Macaca mulatta: one gene and its partners. The protein of the gene in region 3 purifies or fractionates together with the protein of the main gene of each other region. This does not show direct contact. Links are inferred from orthologs where the notes say so. Each region holds a gene or a part of one and is shown on either strand. Other genes may lie near its edges.

Region 1 (5,156 bases), on a different chromosome or scaffold from region 3:
GGTGTAGGCTAGTTAAATTGCTTTGTTTTATGTATGAGGAAGCTGAGACTCAGTGGTGATAAGGAACCTTGATTTGGTTGTATCCCTAATAACAGAGCTTCGTGTTGGAACTCGTCTCCTGATTCATTTCTTTTGGTGAAACATCCTCTTCATTTCCGAGCTTTCAACTTCTATCTTTTCAAATCTTACACTAAAGAATAAGTATCTGCATAGAATTTCATTTTCTGTTCTCTTCTTAGAACTGACTTTAAGAATAGACAGAAGAGGTGGTTGTCAGTGTAGCGTAATGGAGGGAAAAAAATTAAAGATGGGCCCTTCCTTTTCAGCCATTTGTTTTCCCCCAGGTTACAAAAGAAAATTCTCCATTTTATTTTTCCTAGTAATTAGGAGCAATCCACGTGTTTCAACAAAGGCAGAAACAGCATCAGGACTCTGACCTAATGAAGTTTAGAAATGTTAAGATCATTGGAAATTAAATTTCATGACTGTCTCCCACCTGGCCTATAAATCTCCTAATCTTTGCTTCTGCTTTGGCCTCTTTAAGACCCATTATTTTCAAGGAAGAGACTTTTTTTTTTTAAAGTAAACTCTGGGTGTCTCTCCCCTATTAAAAACTTTCTAATACCTTCTATTGCATTTAGAATAAACTTTCAATTCCTTTCTTGGCTAACAAAGCCTTACAGGATCTGATCCATGCTAGTTTCTGACTCAGCAAGAACATCTCCATCTTGGACAAGCACCACCATTTTAAGTTCCCCTTGATTAAAAACTGCCTAAATCCAGCCCCAGAAACATCAGCCTAATGTCATCATGACCATAAACCACAAATGACACCTCTGATGAGAAATATTCCAACCCTGAGATAAACCCCCCTCTGATCAGAAATATGCCTCCCCTCCAACCAGAGACATTAAACCCCCAGCAATAAAACCCTCCTCCACCCAGAAACATTCCAAGCCTGCAATATGCTCTCCCTCCCTCAACCGCTAAATACCTTTAGTCTGTAAGAGAGAACACTACTGACTGAAATTGGCCAGAAGACCCTCTCAGGTTTATTCTCCAAAATAAACCTGTCTCTGTTAAGCTGCCTTTTCTGTTTCTTTAACTCTTACAGTTTCCATCTCCAGGCTCAATAAAGTTTACTTTCTCATTTATTCTTCCCTCAAATGCACTAGAACAGGTCCTTACTTAGGGCCTTTGAATTAGTGTTATCCTTTTCCTGGAATGCTGTACGCTCTGATTTTTGCATGACTGTTATTCAAATCGCTGCTAAAATGTCTCCTCCTCAAAAGGGCAGCCCCTTTACTAGCCACTCAATCACCATCACGTCACTTATTGTAACTTCTTTACATACATTTTAAAACCAACAGATATTTTGTTTTCTTTTCATCCTCAGATAAGTTCCCTAGAATCTACACTACTTATCTTCATCATTGTTCAATGGACAATGATGTTCAATGGACAAAGCCTGGAGTAGTGTTTGTTGAATGAAGAAATGAACAAATGAATTGCACCCTTTCTTCCCTGACCCTCTCCTCTCAACAGGGCAAAACTTAACTCATAATGAGGATACACTCAAAAATGTCTTTTTTATTGCCAGGTGTTTCCACTCTTGAGGAACAGATGCCCTTAAGGAGACAGGGCAATACTGGCCCTTCGGATTTTAGGTGAAAATAATCAGCACAACAGCTTTTCATCTCTGGTTAGGATTCCCAGTGACCAAAGCTTTAGTTTCCGATTTCCATACCATGTAAAGACATCAGGGTGAGCACTAGGGCCCTGAGAACCCTGGGTGCTACTTCTTGGCTGGGATAGGGCCGGTTGCCCTGTGCGCTGTGAGTGGTCCTCCCTGGAGATGCTGGGAAAAGGGGTGGAGTCATCAGAAAGGATGAGCCTTCCTTGGGCCTTCGGATCTGGTGGGGCTGCCACTTAGGGAAGGGCCCGGGGCTTCGGAAGAAAGCAAAACTAGCCTTGTGGCGAAGAAGGAGCCCAGCTGGCCCCAGGCTGTAAGACTAAGGGGTCGACGGAAAAGAGGCAGAGCCTGAAACCAAATCTGCGGAGCAAGCCAAGGCCTGGGGACTTGCCAGAGGAAAGGGTTAAGCCGTTTCCAAGGCAACGGACCAGGAAGCACGCAAGACGTCCGCCGCAGGTTCGTAGGTCGCCCTCGAATTTAAAGCTCCCAAGGCTGAGCGGGTCCCGGCCAATGGAGAGGCCCCCTTTAAATCATGTGATCAGCGGGGCTGCTCCGCTAGCTGCTCCGGAGCACGTGGGAAGGCTTTTTTTCCTGTTCCTTCTTTCCCTTTTTAAACGCCCACTCACTTTTGCGCGGGCTCGGCTGCGGAGTTCTTCTCGCGAGAGGCGCGCTGCCCTCTCGCGAGAGTGAGTGGGAGGCGTGGAGAGTAGGCGGTGTTGCGGGCCGGAGCTGCGGCGGCGGCGGCGGCGGCGGAAGCCGAGGGGTGGGCAGGGCGGGGGCGGGCCGCGGGGCTGGGAGGGGGGAGGGCTGGGGGCCGACGCGGGAGGGGGCCAGCCTGCTCGCCCGGCTCGCTCACGGGTCGTTGCGGCCGGTGACATGTCCATGAGCTGCGGAGGCTGCGGCCCCCAGGTGAGCCGGGCTCCGACGCGTTTGCCGCGGAGGCTGCGGTTAGATGGGGTGGCGGCAGGTATGCGGCCGGCATGGATGGAGCGGCCCGGCTCCGGCGCCCCAGCCCCTCCGCCGGCCCGTGGTCCCTCTTCTGTCTTCGGGGCCGCCCGAGAGCTGCGCCTTCGCATGGCGGAGGGAGGAGGGCGGGAGGAGCGCGGCCGAGGGAGGAAACCCAAGGCACCGGGCCCAGAGTAGAGGGAGGTGCTCGGTCTCGAGACGGGTCTTCCTGGGGTCCCGAGTGTGGCGGTGGAGCTGCCGCCGCTTTTAATGACAGGCTGTTTAAATCCACGGGGTGGTCTTTAGAGACGGTCCCCCGGGTACGTGGTGTGCGCACAGGAACATTTGCAGCAGAAGGAGGACGTTGCACTTTGTCCGCGAACAGCATCCTTCACTGTCAGAACCCCGGAGCCCTGGAAGCAGGCGCTGCTCAGATCTTATGACAGAAACGGAAGGCGTCAAGGGGCTCTTCGTAGTATTGATATTTGCATTTGCTGTCAAATACCCTCCTAGGCTGTTAATGGCTTAAGGCTGGCCATAAAGTACTCCGAATGGATTTAGTATACTGCTATTAATCCAGGCATCTAAGCTGCTTTATAAAAAATATGTAGATGTAACCGAAGTATTAAAAAAAAAGTAAATGACAATGACAGTAAAAGCTAACATTTTTTCTCTTCCCCGTATTACCAGCTTTCATTTTTTTCTCTGCTTTCTCTGTCTTCTAAAACCATATAAAGTTGGTTGTGGTTTAGCTTTAGATGTTAAGGAGTTTCATGGTGAGAGAGACTGCTGAGACACACATCTAATAGCTTTAGTACAAACTGGAGTTAATTCCTGCTCTCTTTTCAGCTTTTCAATCGCTTGCAAAATGCTCGTTTTGCTTAGCTGCTTCCCACTGTTTTAGAAATGTCATGTTGATTGTGATTTCGTTATGTCTGAAAATACTCAAAATATGGAGTGCTAAGAAAAAATGGGGTATCAGTAATGCAAAGATAATTTTTTTTAACGTCATGATTTTAGGATGGCAGCCCAGTGCCTGACATGATTGGTGTCAGTTAAAATAGTGCAACTGAATGATTTTTTTTAAACGTTTACTTTTTCAAATGGTACCCTGATTATTCATTTTTTTTGTTGTTGTTGTTCCTCCTGACAAAACTGACCCGGGGTGAACAGTGAATGTCACTATTAATTGTAGCTGTAATAGTAATTTATGAAAGGTCAAAGAACGTAAGGGAATCAGGGAAGAAGTGGGTTCCCAAGCTGAACTAGGGACTAGTGTATGTACCCACATAACTGCACTATCGACGAGATTGATATGGGTCTAGCAGTGGACTCCTAGGCCAGTGATATTTTGCAGTTGAGGATATGGGAAGTTGCCTAAGACATGGAACCATAGTGAGAAAGTCTCTAGCCTTCTCTAGCCCCCTGAACTCCAGGGATAAGTCTAGAAGCTGAAGAAGTCCTCTTTTGCCTTTAGAGGCCGGAAAAAATATAGTACTTTTAATTTTTTTTATTTTTTAATTTTAGGAACTTACTGTCTGGAAAAGGAACTCAAACCAATTTGGACAACATATTAAAGACCGTTTTAAGAGAAATTGTCAGTTATAAATAGGTAGAGGAATTCTCTCTATACTTGACAAAAATGTAACGTAGAAAATATATCTTTGTGAATGGGCAGAGGAGACCAGTGTTGATTAGAAAAAAATTTCTTCTCACTCCATCTTAGCAAACTAATTTTCAGAAATAGAAAAATAAATTTTTTGGCTGGTCTTCATCACCTTTTGGCAAGGGTTTCAAACTTGTAGGGTGTGTGGTGTTTGGTTTTTCAAAAGTAATTGAAGTAACTTTGGATAGGGTAACTGATTTTTTTTTTTTTTTCCTGTCTTGTCTGCATTTTATTAATCAACTACCTGGAAGGATTGAAGAGTGAGAACTGGTCAAGAGAAGATCTAGGTTAAGCCTGGGTGTGAGTTAAGGGTCAATAAGCTGGTAATATGGGTAAGAGAAAGAAAAATGCTTTATCAGTTTAAAAACAGACTGGAAAGATTCAAATGTCTTGATTCTCCCAGTCATCCTTACATATAAAAGTTTATTTAAAATTACTTCTGGGCCAGGCCTGGTGCCTTACGCTTGTAATCTCAGGACTTTATTTAGGAGGCTGAGGCGGGTGGATCACTTGACACCAGGAGTTCGAGACCAGCCTGGCCAACATGGAGAAACCCTGTCTTTGCTAAAAAATACAAAAATTAGCCGCGTGTGATGGCACACACCTGTAATGCCAGCTACTCGAGAGGATGAGGCACAAGAATCGCTTGAGCCTGGGAGATGGAGATTGCAGTGAGCCAAGATCTTGCCACTGCACTCCACCCTGGGCGACTGAGCAAGACTCTGCCTCAAAAAACAAACAACAAAAAATTACTGGAGTAAAGGCATTTGAAATTTATAGATTAGAGACTGGACATGGTAAGAGGAGAAAAGTTAGCATTTTTAGAATAGTCTAAGAATGTTTTTTGGGAAA
Region 2 (5,156 bases), on a different chromosome or scaffold from region 3:
TTTAATTTCTTGATGAAAGCCCTTTCTTGAATAAATTTTTGCTTTATTTAAAGATCAACCTGATGAGAGAAAAGAAAGTGGTATTTTATTTCACTATGAGCCTATTATTTTCTATGGAGACTATTTCAGCTGAATGTATAAGATTCTACCAGGCATATTTTCCATATAATAATGAAATGACTGGAGAATAAACGTTGGGGTTTACTTTGGCCCTATTAAAGAGTTCAATGTGGTTCTATTGTTTTATCCTCTTTGTTGAAACTTCATTTTGGATTACCCTGCAAGTCTGATATTATTAGTTCTTTAGTTGTGTTGTCTGTGTGAATTGCTTATGGCTCTAAAGTGCAAATTAAGCAAACAACAGGAAGAACAAAAAATGAAGTGCAGGATGAAAAACAAGCTAATGTATTTTTTATCACACTCAATAAATAATTTTAAAGCTGCAAAGGACTTTAGAGATTATTTGAGATTACTCAAATCCAGCCAGATGACAAAACTGAACTCCAGAGGGGAGCAATTGTCTTGTTAAAAGCCATGCAGCTAGATAAGGTCATAGCCAGAGTTAGAACTAGAGACTTTGACTCTCTAGTTTTTCCATTATAACATAAGGTTTCTGTTCTAAAAATGTATGTTCCATCAAGGAAGTGCTACTTTTCATACATATTCTTAGGAAAATTTAGCATTACTGTCATTTCCCACTCTTAAATTAGTTGTATAATTTTGACATTTTCATTTAAGTACTGTATTTGCTGTATCACATGTTTCCACCATAATCTGCACATAGTTGGAGGTCAGTAAGAGTAACAATAGCTGACATTTATTGAGCAATTCTTGGGTATTAGGCGGTGCACACACTTTTACATACATCTGTAATCCTCACCACAGTATTACAAAGATGGTGGTATCACCATCTACAGATGAAGCAATTTGGCTGAGATTAAGGCAGAGCTGTAACAGAGCTCAGATTAAACAAAAGATTGCTTGTTGCTTAAAGCTTATGTTCTGAAACTGGGCTTTAAGAGTTTCATCAGAAAATGGATTGTTTGGGGATACTAATCTGCAGTATATTCATTAGTAAAAAAATTTAAAAATTGATTAATGGTCATTTAATCACAAGGCACTTATCAACTCATAATTGAACCAAGAGTAGTCTGAGTTCTTGTTATTTGAAAACCAAGCTTTTGAAATTCTTTAAGCCGGGCACGGTGGCTCAAGCCTGTAATCCCAGCACTTTGGGAGGCTGAGACGGGCGGATCACAAGGTCAGGAGATCGAGACCATCCTGGCTAACACGGTGAAACCCCGTCTCTACTAAAAAATACAAAAAACTAGCCGGGCGAGGTGGCGGGCGCCTGTGGTCCCAGCTACTCCGGAGGCTGAGGCAGGAGAATGGCGTAAACCCGGGAGGCGGAGCTTGCAGTGAGCTGAGATCCGGCCACTGCACTCCAGCCTGGGCGACAGAGCCAGATTCAGTCTCAAAAAAAAAAAAAAAAAGAAATTCTTTATATTTTGCTTTTTCGGTTCAGGAACTAATTTAACAGCCAAAAATAGGTTGATAAACTATGCAATTGGCAAACTGTTAGATAATACAAAGGTGTATTGAAAATTTAATCCTCAGAATGGTATGATGGTACCAAAGAATGGAAATGGGAAGTGATTATCTAACAAAGATCCTATGAATTTTAGTGGGTGGATGCCCTAAAATAAGCAAAGGGACTCATTCTTTATATTGTTTTTATGTAAATCCTTCACTGAAGTTTCATGTGGGTAACCCATAATTTTATGAACTGTGGAAAGAACTGGAACCCTGAAAATCAGTTTATGATCTAAGTAAATATTCTCTTAGGTTGGGTGTTTCATACTGTATGCCTCTAACAGAAAGATAAAGTCATTCTAGAACAATGACGGAACTAAAATATGGACATTTGACAGTGTTTCTCCTCACATTTATATTTCAGTGAGCACTAGAACCTCAGCTGATAACTCTGTTTAAATCTTCTCACCTCTTGTGAGTTTTCAACACCTGAGCACTTTTGTTAAGCAGAGGCTGTATTACCACATAATAGAAATATTGAAATGAGATGTTCAGGAGTGTATCATTTGAAACTAACGTGGATTGCGCAAAGACAATGGTTTGAGAAGCTCACTTGAATGTGTCTCACACACTAGAAATAAAACGAATGCCCAAACAGAAACTTAACTGAAGGGGGAAAATAATGCAGTCTGTAGACATTAAAACTTTGCAGAATGTCAGACTGCAAAGGATTCGCTCTTAACCAGCAAGGGTAGCTTTATCGCCTCAGGAAATCTTAAAGTCCCTGTGCTCATTTCCTGATAGAATTTCAAGTCTCATGTCACAGAAAACACTCCCTTTCCTTTTTCCCTTAAGCAGCAAAGAACATCCACTACCCGAGGAAAGCAATGCATCTTTCCCAGCACCAGATATGGACCACGAAGGTTCCTCCTGGAGGAAGGAATCTCGAATTCTAGCTTGACGCCCCTTATGGCAGGAGACAGAGCGCAGGATAAAGTACTCAAAAAGGAAAATGCCGGGGGCGTGGAACAGATAACCCAGCTTCAAGCTGTCTGCAGAATTATAATGTAATGGCCAGAAACCCAGAATCACATTTCGCAAAGAGGGATAAAGAAGGAAAAAAGCCACCGGCAACCCATGCTTCTAAGACAAGCTGTAACGCGAAGGTGATAGGTGGGCAGACCTGATGAGGGTCGTCCTGGCCGCGGATTCCTGCGGACAAGCGACCTCCCGCGTTCTTACTCCCAGCACCTCAGGGGGCTCACATCCCCCATGTCCAGTGGGCGCCTCTTGCCCACTCCGCGGTCCGCTGACCGGACACTGCCCCCGACCCTCCTCTCCAGCAGGCTCCCCGCCCTGCCTTTACTCACGTAGGGCGTCGGGGTCCTTGGCCAACACTGTTCCCAAGGTGGCGGCGCGCTCGCGGGGCCCGGCGCCCAGGCCTCCAGGGAGCCGAAGCAAGGCGCCCTCTGCAGAGCCCGCCGCCGGGTGCGCCCCCTCCCCACCGCGCGGGGACAGACAGCCCGCAGAGCCAATGCGAGCGGAGCGGAGCCGAGCGGGCGGGCAGGGGCGTGGCGACGCGGGAGGCGGGGGGCGGCACGGAAGCCGGGACCCACCTGCAGCAGCAGCCTGCCTGCCGCGGGGAAGGCCACCGTGCTCCGCCTGGGCGCCAATCTCCGCCGCCAGACTACATTATCGCCGAGGCGGGGACCGCGAGAGCCAGCCGAAGGCTCGGGGAGGGGTGGGGGGCGGAGGGAAGGCGGGGAGCGGCCAGGGCAATGAACCCCGCGTTTCTGAGACGCTAAATGGTGAGGTCCAGTTTCAAATTATAGACAGTCCTGTTACACATGTCCTCTCCTCCCCCTCAGAATATTTAAAGACAAGGCAGACATCGCATTTTAAAAGCAGGATTCAAAACTGTGTATGGAATAGCGAGGTCATTTTTGTTTGAAGCGAAAATTACATATAGAAATGGAAACAGAAAGAAACCCGACTTTCTCAGGAGTGACTTGAGTATAAGATCATCGTAGGCCGGGCGCGGTGGCTCAAGGCTGTAATCCCAGCACTTTGGGAGGCGGAGACGGGCGGATCACGAGGTCAGGAGATTGAGACCATCCTGGCTAACACGGTGAAACCCCGTCTCTACTAAAAAATACAGCCGGGCGCGGTGGCTCAAGCCTGTAATCCCAGCACTTTGGGAGGCCGAGGCGGGTGGATCACGAGGTCAGGAGATCGAGACCATCCTGGCTAACACGGTGAAACCCCGTCTCTACTAAAAATACAAAAAACTAGCCGGGCGTGGTGGCGGGCGCCTGTAGTCCCAGCTACTCGGAGGCTGAGGCAGGAGAATGGCGTGAACCCGGGAGGCGGAGCTTGCAGTGAGCCGAGATCGCGCCACTGCACTCCAGCCTGGGCGACACAGCGAGACTCCGTCTCAAAAAAAAAAAAAAAAAAAAAAAAAAAAAAAAAATACAAAAAAAAAGTAGCCGGGCGAGGTGGTGGGCGCCTGTAGTCCCAGCTACTCGGGAGGCTGAGGCAGGAGAATGGCGTAAACCCGGGAGGCGGAGCTTGCAGTGAGCTGAGATCCGGCCACTGCACTCCAGCCTGGGCGACACAGCGAGACTCCGTCTCAAAAAAAAAAAAAAAAAAAGATCATCGTGGTTCATCGCTAAACAGGCTCTCAGACCTTTGTCTCCCAGTGGGAAGCAGGTGGAGGTGATTCGTGCAGAACTTTGGCCTGCAGGAGCAGCTGCATCTCTATGCGGACAAGGCGAGAAAGGCACAGCAACCCAGCTCCATCCATCTTATATCTTACATAGTTCCAAAAATAAGTTGAGGTAGCTTACAAGTTACCCATGATTCCCTTCAGGACATTCCCTATGAGGGCATTCCTGGGAGCTCCAGCTGTAAAATCCAGTAGGATCCATCACAATCCCAGCCTGCTCCTCAGGCCCTCACAGCATAGCATCCAGATGAAGAACCTGGTAAGGTGCAGTGAAGAACTACTGAAAAGCAGCCGCGTTCATCTCCTTTCTTCAAGAGGATCACGATCTTAGGGAGTGTAGATGTCAGGTGTCCATTTTTGTATGTTTTTTTGGAAATGTTTTATATTTGTAAGGTTCCATAGTTTCCACATAGGCTTATCACGGAAAGAACTCTTGGGACACAAAAGCAAAGCCAAATATAAACAAACTGTCAAGATCTTAAATTTACAGATAAAAGAGGCAAGAGTTGTAAAACAGGAAAATCCACAAGCATCTAGTTTAGTTGTAATTAAGAATTCGGGGCCGGGTGCAGTGGCTCACACCTGTAATCCCGGCACTTTGGGAAGCCAAGGCAGGAGGATGGCTTGAGTCCAAGAGTTTGAGACCAGCCTTGGCAACATAGGGAGACAAAAAAAATTTAAAAATTAGCTGGGCATGGTGGTGCACCTATGGTCCCAGTTACTCAGGAGCTCAGGAGGCTGAGATGGGAGGATCACTTGGGCCCAGAAGGTCAAGGCTGCTGTAAGCCACTACTATACCACTGCACGCCAGCCTGGGCAACAAAGTGAGACCCTGTCTCAAAAGAAAAAAAAAAAAAAATTCAGTCAGCCTTCTTCACTCAGCAAACACGCCTACAGA
Region 3 (5,056 bases):
TAGATCTATGTAATGTATGTATTCCTCCAATTAAACACCAGCATATGGAAATTAATATTTTATAAGTAAAAAGTAATAATAATGACATTTTATGTTTACAGGTGCATGGAGAAAATAAGAGGGGACCTCCCAGGTCAAATGTTTCCCAGTTTAAGCATAAATGTTGCAATGACCAGAATGATTATTTTAATCTCTGCTTACAATGTTCTCCTCATTCCTTGTCATTTGGCATACAATGCAGATTGACAGTGTTGGGATGAAGCAGAAACTGGAAGGGTATTATAGAATTTTGCTCCCCAAAAGCATTTTTCTTTACATATGCATTATTTCAACAAATATTTACTGAGCACTTGGGAAATGCAGTGACAAGCAAAAAAGGCAGCACATATAATCTTTTGTTGGAATTTGTATTTCTGTTACTACTAGATCAAATTCATACCAACCATCTTGAGGGAAATTCTATTCATAGTTAAGGTTGTTGTTCACTGAGGAAACAAATCTGAAAGGCATTGCAATTTATCAGGCAGATTAGTAGAATTCAAGTAATGCATTAGAAGATAAATTAGAAACTCAGAAAATTGGTATATCCTTTTGAATTTTTCAGATTGTGACATCAAAATTACACTGATCTATTAATCTAATATATACATTAAAGAACTGTACATATTTACACTAACATAGAGATTATTCTTATGTCTAGCTATGTAAACAAGCATAGTAGAAGATTTGGAAATCCTGATGCCAAGGTCGTTTCTATGGTTTCTGAATGGGATTATGAGTATTCATCCTTCTTCATCGATATTTTATGATATTTTTCCATAATGAACACATGTCATTTTGTAACAGGAACTATTACAAAATGGGTAAAATGGCATTAATCTGCAGATAAATGCAGCTAAAGAACTTCTATGTAGGGAAATTCTATGAACTCTTGAAATTTGTGAGAAAAGTAGATGGAGCCACTATAGCAGTGGCCCCGATAGACACTTCAATTGGCACATTTGCTTTTCAGTCATTCTCAAGATCAGACATAATTAGAAAGACATCAATATATTCAAATATAGGCTATAATGATTCACAGTGAGATAACTATTTTAGGTTTATATTTTTCCTCAACGTGTGCTTCCCCATAAATTTATCAGAATGTTATTTGAACACAATATAGAGATTTAATAAATATTTGAAAAGTAACAAAATTCTTTACATACATTTTTTTAAAAATACTTTTTGTTCCCAAAGTACCTCTACTTCATATTGGTTTTTATGTATAATCTACTAATTAGAATGTATTAACTCATTTTTACAGAAAATCAATGTTTTTATTTCTTTGCAGTGAACCCCATGCCCGGTTCTATGCAGCTCAGATAGTGCTAACATTCGAGTACCTCCATTCACTAGACCTCATCTACAGAGATCTAAAACCTGAAAATCTCTTAATTGACCATCAAGGCTATATCCAGGTATGACTTTAACACATTCTGTATAATGTATTTGAGAAAATACTAGGCAAGACATTGTATGTATGTAAGCCCAACCTGGATTTTTTTTTGAAGAAGACAATTATTCCTAACAGTTTAAGTAGAGCTCAGAGTTTCGCTGCTATTACAGAGAAGCAAAAATCCTATTATGAAAGGAACTTGTTTGTATCTCCCTTAATCTATAGCTGTGAACTGAGTATAGCCTCTTGCATAAGGAGATATTAATAGCTAAATCTGTGAGCAGTTATTACTGCCAGGCATATTCCAGGTGTTTTACATGTATTATTTCTTTAATCCTGATAAACCTATGAAGTAGAAATACCACTGTTATCTTCATTTTAAGATTAACAAAACTAAGGCATGGCAAGGTCATTTAGCCAGTAAATGGTAGTCAGAATTTGAACCTAGGCAGTCTGATCCCAGAGTCCATGCCCTTTACGACTACAATATAACTGCCAAAGGATCCCTGACTACCAATACTGAACTTGTAGAAACATTTTCTTTTCACTTCTACTACTAATAAAGTGGGAGCATTTCTTTTTACACAATTATCAATAGATTCTCCCATTGACATTTTTACACTTCTGATGGTGCAATTAATGGCAGAGGACATATTGGGGTAAGGCAGACATTTAGCATTGTTTCATTTTTATTAATGCTATTTATTTTTACCTTTTATTTTCACTTTTTTATTCCTTGGGTCTAGGATCTTATAATAATGACTGAAAAGGGTTTTGTTGTTATTAATTTGTTCCTTTTCTTTGTGTTGAGGAAGGATTTCCAACTTGGAGTGTTTAAACCTTCATTCACTAACTATTCATTAATGAATTTCAATTACATGGACTTAATTATTTTTTCAGTTTCTTTCATAGTTTCAATTTGAATTTTAAACTTTCAATTTAGGTTCAATAAACACATTTATTGTGAGGTAATACATTTTCACTAATATTTTTTTTTTCTTTTATAGGTCACAGACTTTGGGTTTGCCAAAAGAGTTAAAGGCAGAACTTGGACATTATGTGGAACTCCAGAGTATTTGGCTCCAGAAATAATTCTCAGCAAGGTATATTCATAATATCAATACGTAAGAGGTAGAAATATGAGTCATGCATCCCTATGGACTTTTGTAAAAAGTTTATTGATCTAATTTTACAGTTTTAATTTGATCTGAGTTATGAATTTAAATCTATTTGTGCATGATTACTAAAGAATTACTATTTAGCATCTACCACTAATCCTAAACCTCTGTCAATTTTAACTCTGGGTCTTAGAGAAATAATATGAATAAATATGACCTCTAGATCCATGTTTGGCAACCAAAAACATAGTCTTTTCTTAATTATTCCTAGTAACAGGAGGGTAGAGAAGACTTGCTCTGGATTATACCAAGAGGTAAATCTAGAGATGATATGTACTAGTTGTCCATTCTTTCTTTTTCAAATTTACCAGTTGAATAAAAGGAATGTATGAGAAGTGTTTTTAAATTTTAAATAGGACTATTAACAGCAATTGAATAGTTTTAGTTGTATTGAAGGCAGCTCTACTTTTCTAAATAGTGAAATGTGGTGAGAGAAACTGTACCTATATCTAAAAGAATGGTTAACTTTTCCTCTGCCATCTCTTGGTGGAGAAATCTAGAAAGGAGAACCTAACAATAACCAGGCACAAATAGGCGAGAGGAAAAGGAAGGGAATAAGACACATGCTTCAGTGGTTCCCAAATGGGATCATTGAAATATGGCTAACCTATAGAAGGGTTAAAATAAAAGATTTCTTTCAAGTTTTCTCTCATTATCTTTTGTAATTTAAATAATGTATAACTTCTTGATATTTTATAATCTAAATATCATTGCAGTTAACACATTTCTTTAAATACAGTTAACAAATAATGTGACAACAAAATGAGCACTAAAACTTTTACAAATGTGTATATATTGTAAAAGTAATACTCATTATACAAAATTTAGAAAATACAGAAAAACATAAAGAAACAACCAAAAAAACCTATATGTAATCCCACCAACCTAGAGGCAGCCTTTTTAAAAACATTCATATATATATGTACATTTTAGCTTTTATTTTAGGTTTGGAGTTACATGTGAAGGTTTGTTACATAGGTAAACTCATGTCATGGGGGTTTGTTGTACAGATTATTTCATCACTCAGGAATTAAGCCCAATACCCATAGTTATCTTTCTTATCCTCTCCCTCCTCCCTACCTCCACTCTCAAGTAGAATCCAACGTCTGTTTTTTCCTTCGTTGTCTTCATAAATTCTCATCATTTAGCTCCCACTTATAAGTGAAAACATGTGGTATTTAGTTTTCTGTTCCTGCATTAGTTTGCTGAGGATGATAGCCTCCAGCTCCATCCATGTTCATGCAAAAGACATGATCTCATTCCTTTTTATAGCTTTATAGTATTCCATAGTATATATGTACCACATTTTCTTTATCTAGTCTACAATTGATGGACATGTAGGTTGATTCCATGTCTTTGCTATTGTGAATAGTTCCACAATGAATAAACAAATGCATGTGTCTTTATGATGGAATGATTTATAATCCTCTGAGTATATACCCAGTAGTGGGATTGCTGGGTCGAATGGTAGTTCTGCTTTTAACTCTTTGAGGAATCTCCATACTGCTTTCCACAATGGTTGAACTAATTTACACTCCTACCAACAGTGTCTAAGGGTTCACTTTTCTCTGCAACCTTGCCAGCATCTGTTATTTTTTGACTATTTATTTATTTTGAAGATGGAGTCTCGCTCTGTCACCCAGGCTATAGTGCAGTGTCATGATCTCGGCTCACTGCAACCTCTGCCTCCTGAGTTCAAGCGATTCTCCTGCCTCAGGCTCCCAAGTAGGTGGGACTACAGGCATGCACCACCACATCCAGCTAATTTTTGTATTTTTTGGTAGACACGGGGTTTCACCATATTGGCCAGGCTGGTCTTGAACTCCCGACCTCAAGTGATCCACCCTCCTCGGCCTCCCATAGTTCTGGGATTACAGGTGTGAGCCACTGCGCCCTACCATTTTTTGACTTTTTAATAATAGCCATTCTGACTGGTGTGGAATGGTATCTCATTATGGTTTTGACTTGCTTGCATTTCTCTAATGATAAGTGATATTGAGCATTTTTTCATATCTTTGTTGGCCACGTGTATGTCTTCTTTTGGAAAGTGTCAGTTCATGTCCTTTGCCCACCTTTTCATGGGGTTGTTTGTTTCTTGTAAATTTGTTTAAGATCCGCATAGATGCTGGATATTAGACTTTTGGCAGGTGCATAGTTTGCAAATATTTTCTCCCATTCTGTAGGTTCTCTGTTTACCATTGATAGTTTCTTTTGCTGTGCAGAATCTCTTCAGTTTAATTAGATCCCACTTGACAGTGTTTGCTGTTGTTGGAATTGCTTTTGGTATCTTTGTCATGAAACCTTTGTCCATTCCTATGTCCAGAATGGCATTGCCTAGGTTATCTTCCAAGGTTTTTATACTTTGGGGTTTTGCATTTAAGTCTTTAATCAATCTTGAGCTGATTTTTGTATATGGTATAAGGAAGGGGTCTATCGTCAG

What was found. The genes of interacting proteins can lie anywhere in the genome.
Region 1: the proteins of PRKACB (region 3) and AKAP11 purify together in Homo sapiens (affinity purification with mass spectrometry; 5 studies listed by BioGRID and IntAct, counting the BioPlex papers as one, with this or other methods). This does not show direct contact. The link is inferred for Macaca mulatta from reciprocal best matches to the Homo sapiens genes PRKACB and AKAP11.
Region 2: the proteins of PRKACB (region 3) and AKAP5 purify together in Homo sapiens (affinity purification with mass spectrometry; 4 studies listed by BioGRID and IntAct, counting the BioPlex papers as one, with this or other methods). This does not show direct contact. The link is inferred for Macaca mulatta from reciprocal best matches to the Homo sapiens genes PRKACB and AKAP5.

Annotation. Positions count from the first base shown.
Region 1 is NC_133422.1:21,627,039-21,632,194, forward strand, and holds the start of AKAP11 (A-kinase anchor protein 11), read left to right. Parts: upstream 1-1,878; 5' UTR 1,879-2,149; intron 2,150-2,395; exon of another isoform or gene 2,396-2,602; intron 2,603-5,156. UniProt on the Homo sapiens protein: Binds to type II regulatory subunits of protein kinase A and anchors/targets them.
Region 2 is NC_133412.1:137,557,841-137,562,996, reverse strand, and holds the start of AKAP5 (A-kinase anchor protein 5), read right to left. Parts: upstream 3,005-5,156; 5' UTR 2,904-3,004; intron 60-2,903; 5' UTR 1-59. UniProt on the Homo sapiens protein: Multivalent scaffold protein that anchors the cAMP-dependent protein kinase/PKA to cytoskeletal and/or organelle-associated proteins, targeting the signal carried by cAMP to specific intracellular effectors.
Region 3 is NC_133406.1:156,357,742-156,362,797, reverse strand, and holds part of PRKACB (cAMP-dependent protein kinase catalytic subunit beta), read left to right. Parts: intron 1-1,333; coding exon 1,334-1,460; intron 1,461-2,445; coding exon 2,446-2,541; intron 2,542-5,056. UniProt on the Homo sapiens protein: Mediates cAMP-dependent signaling triggered by receptor binding to GPCRs.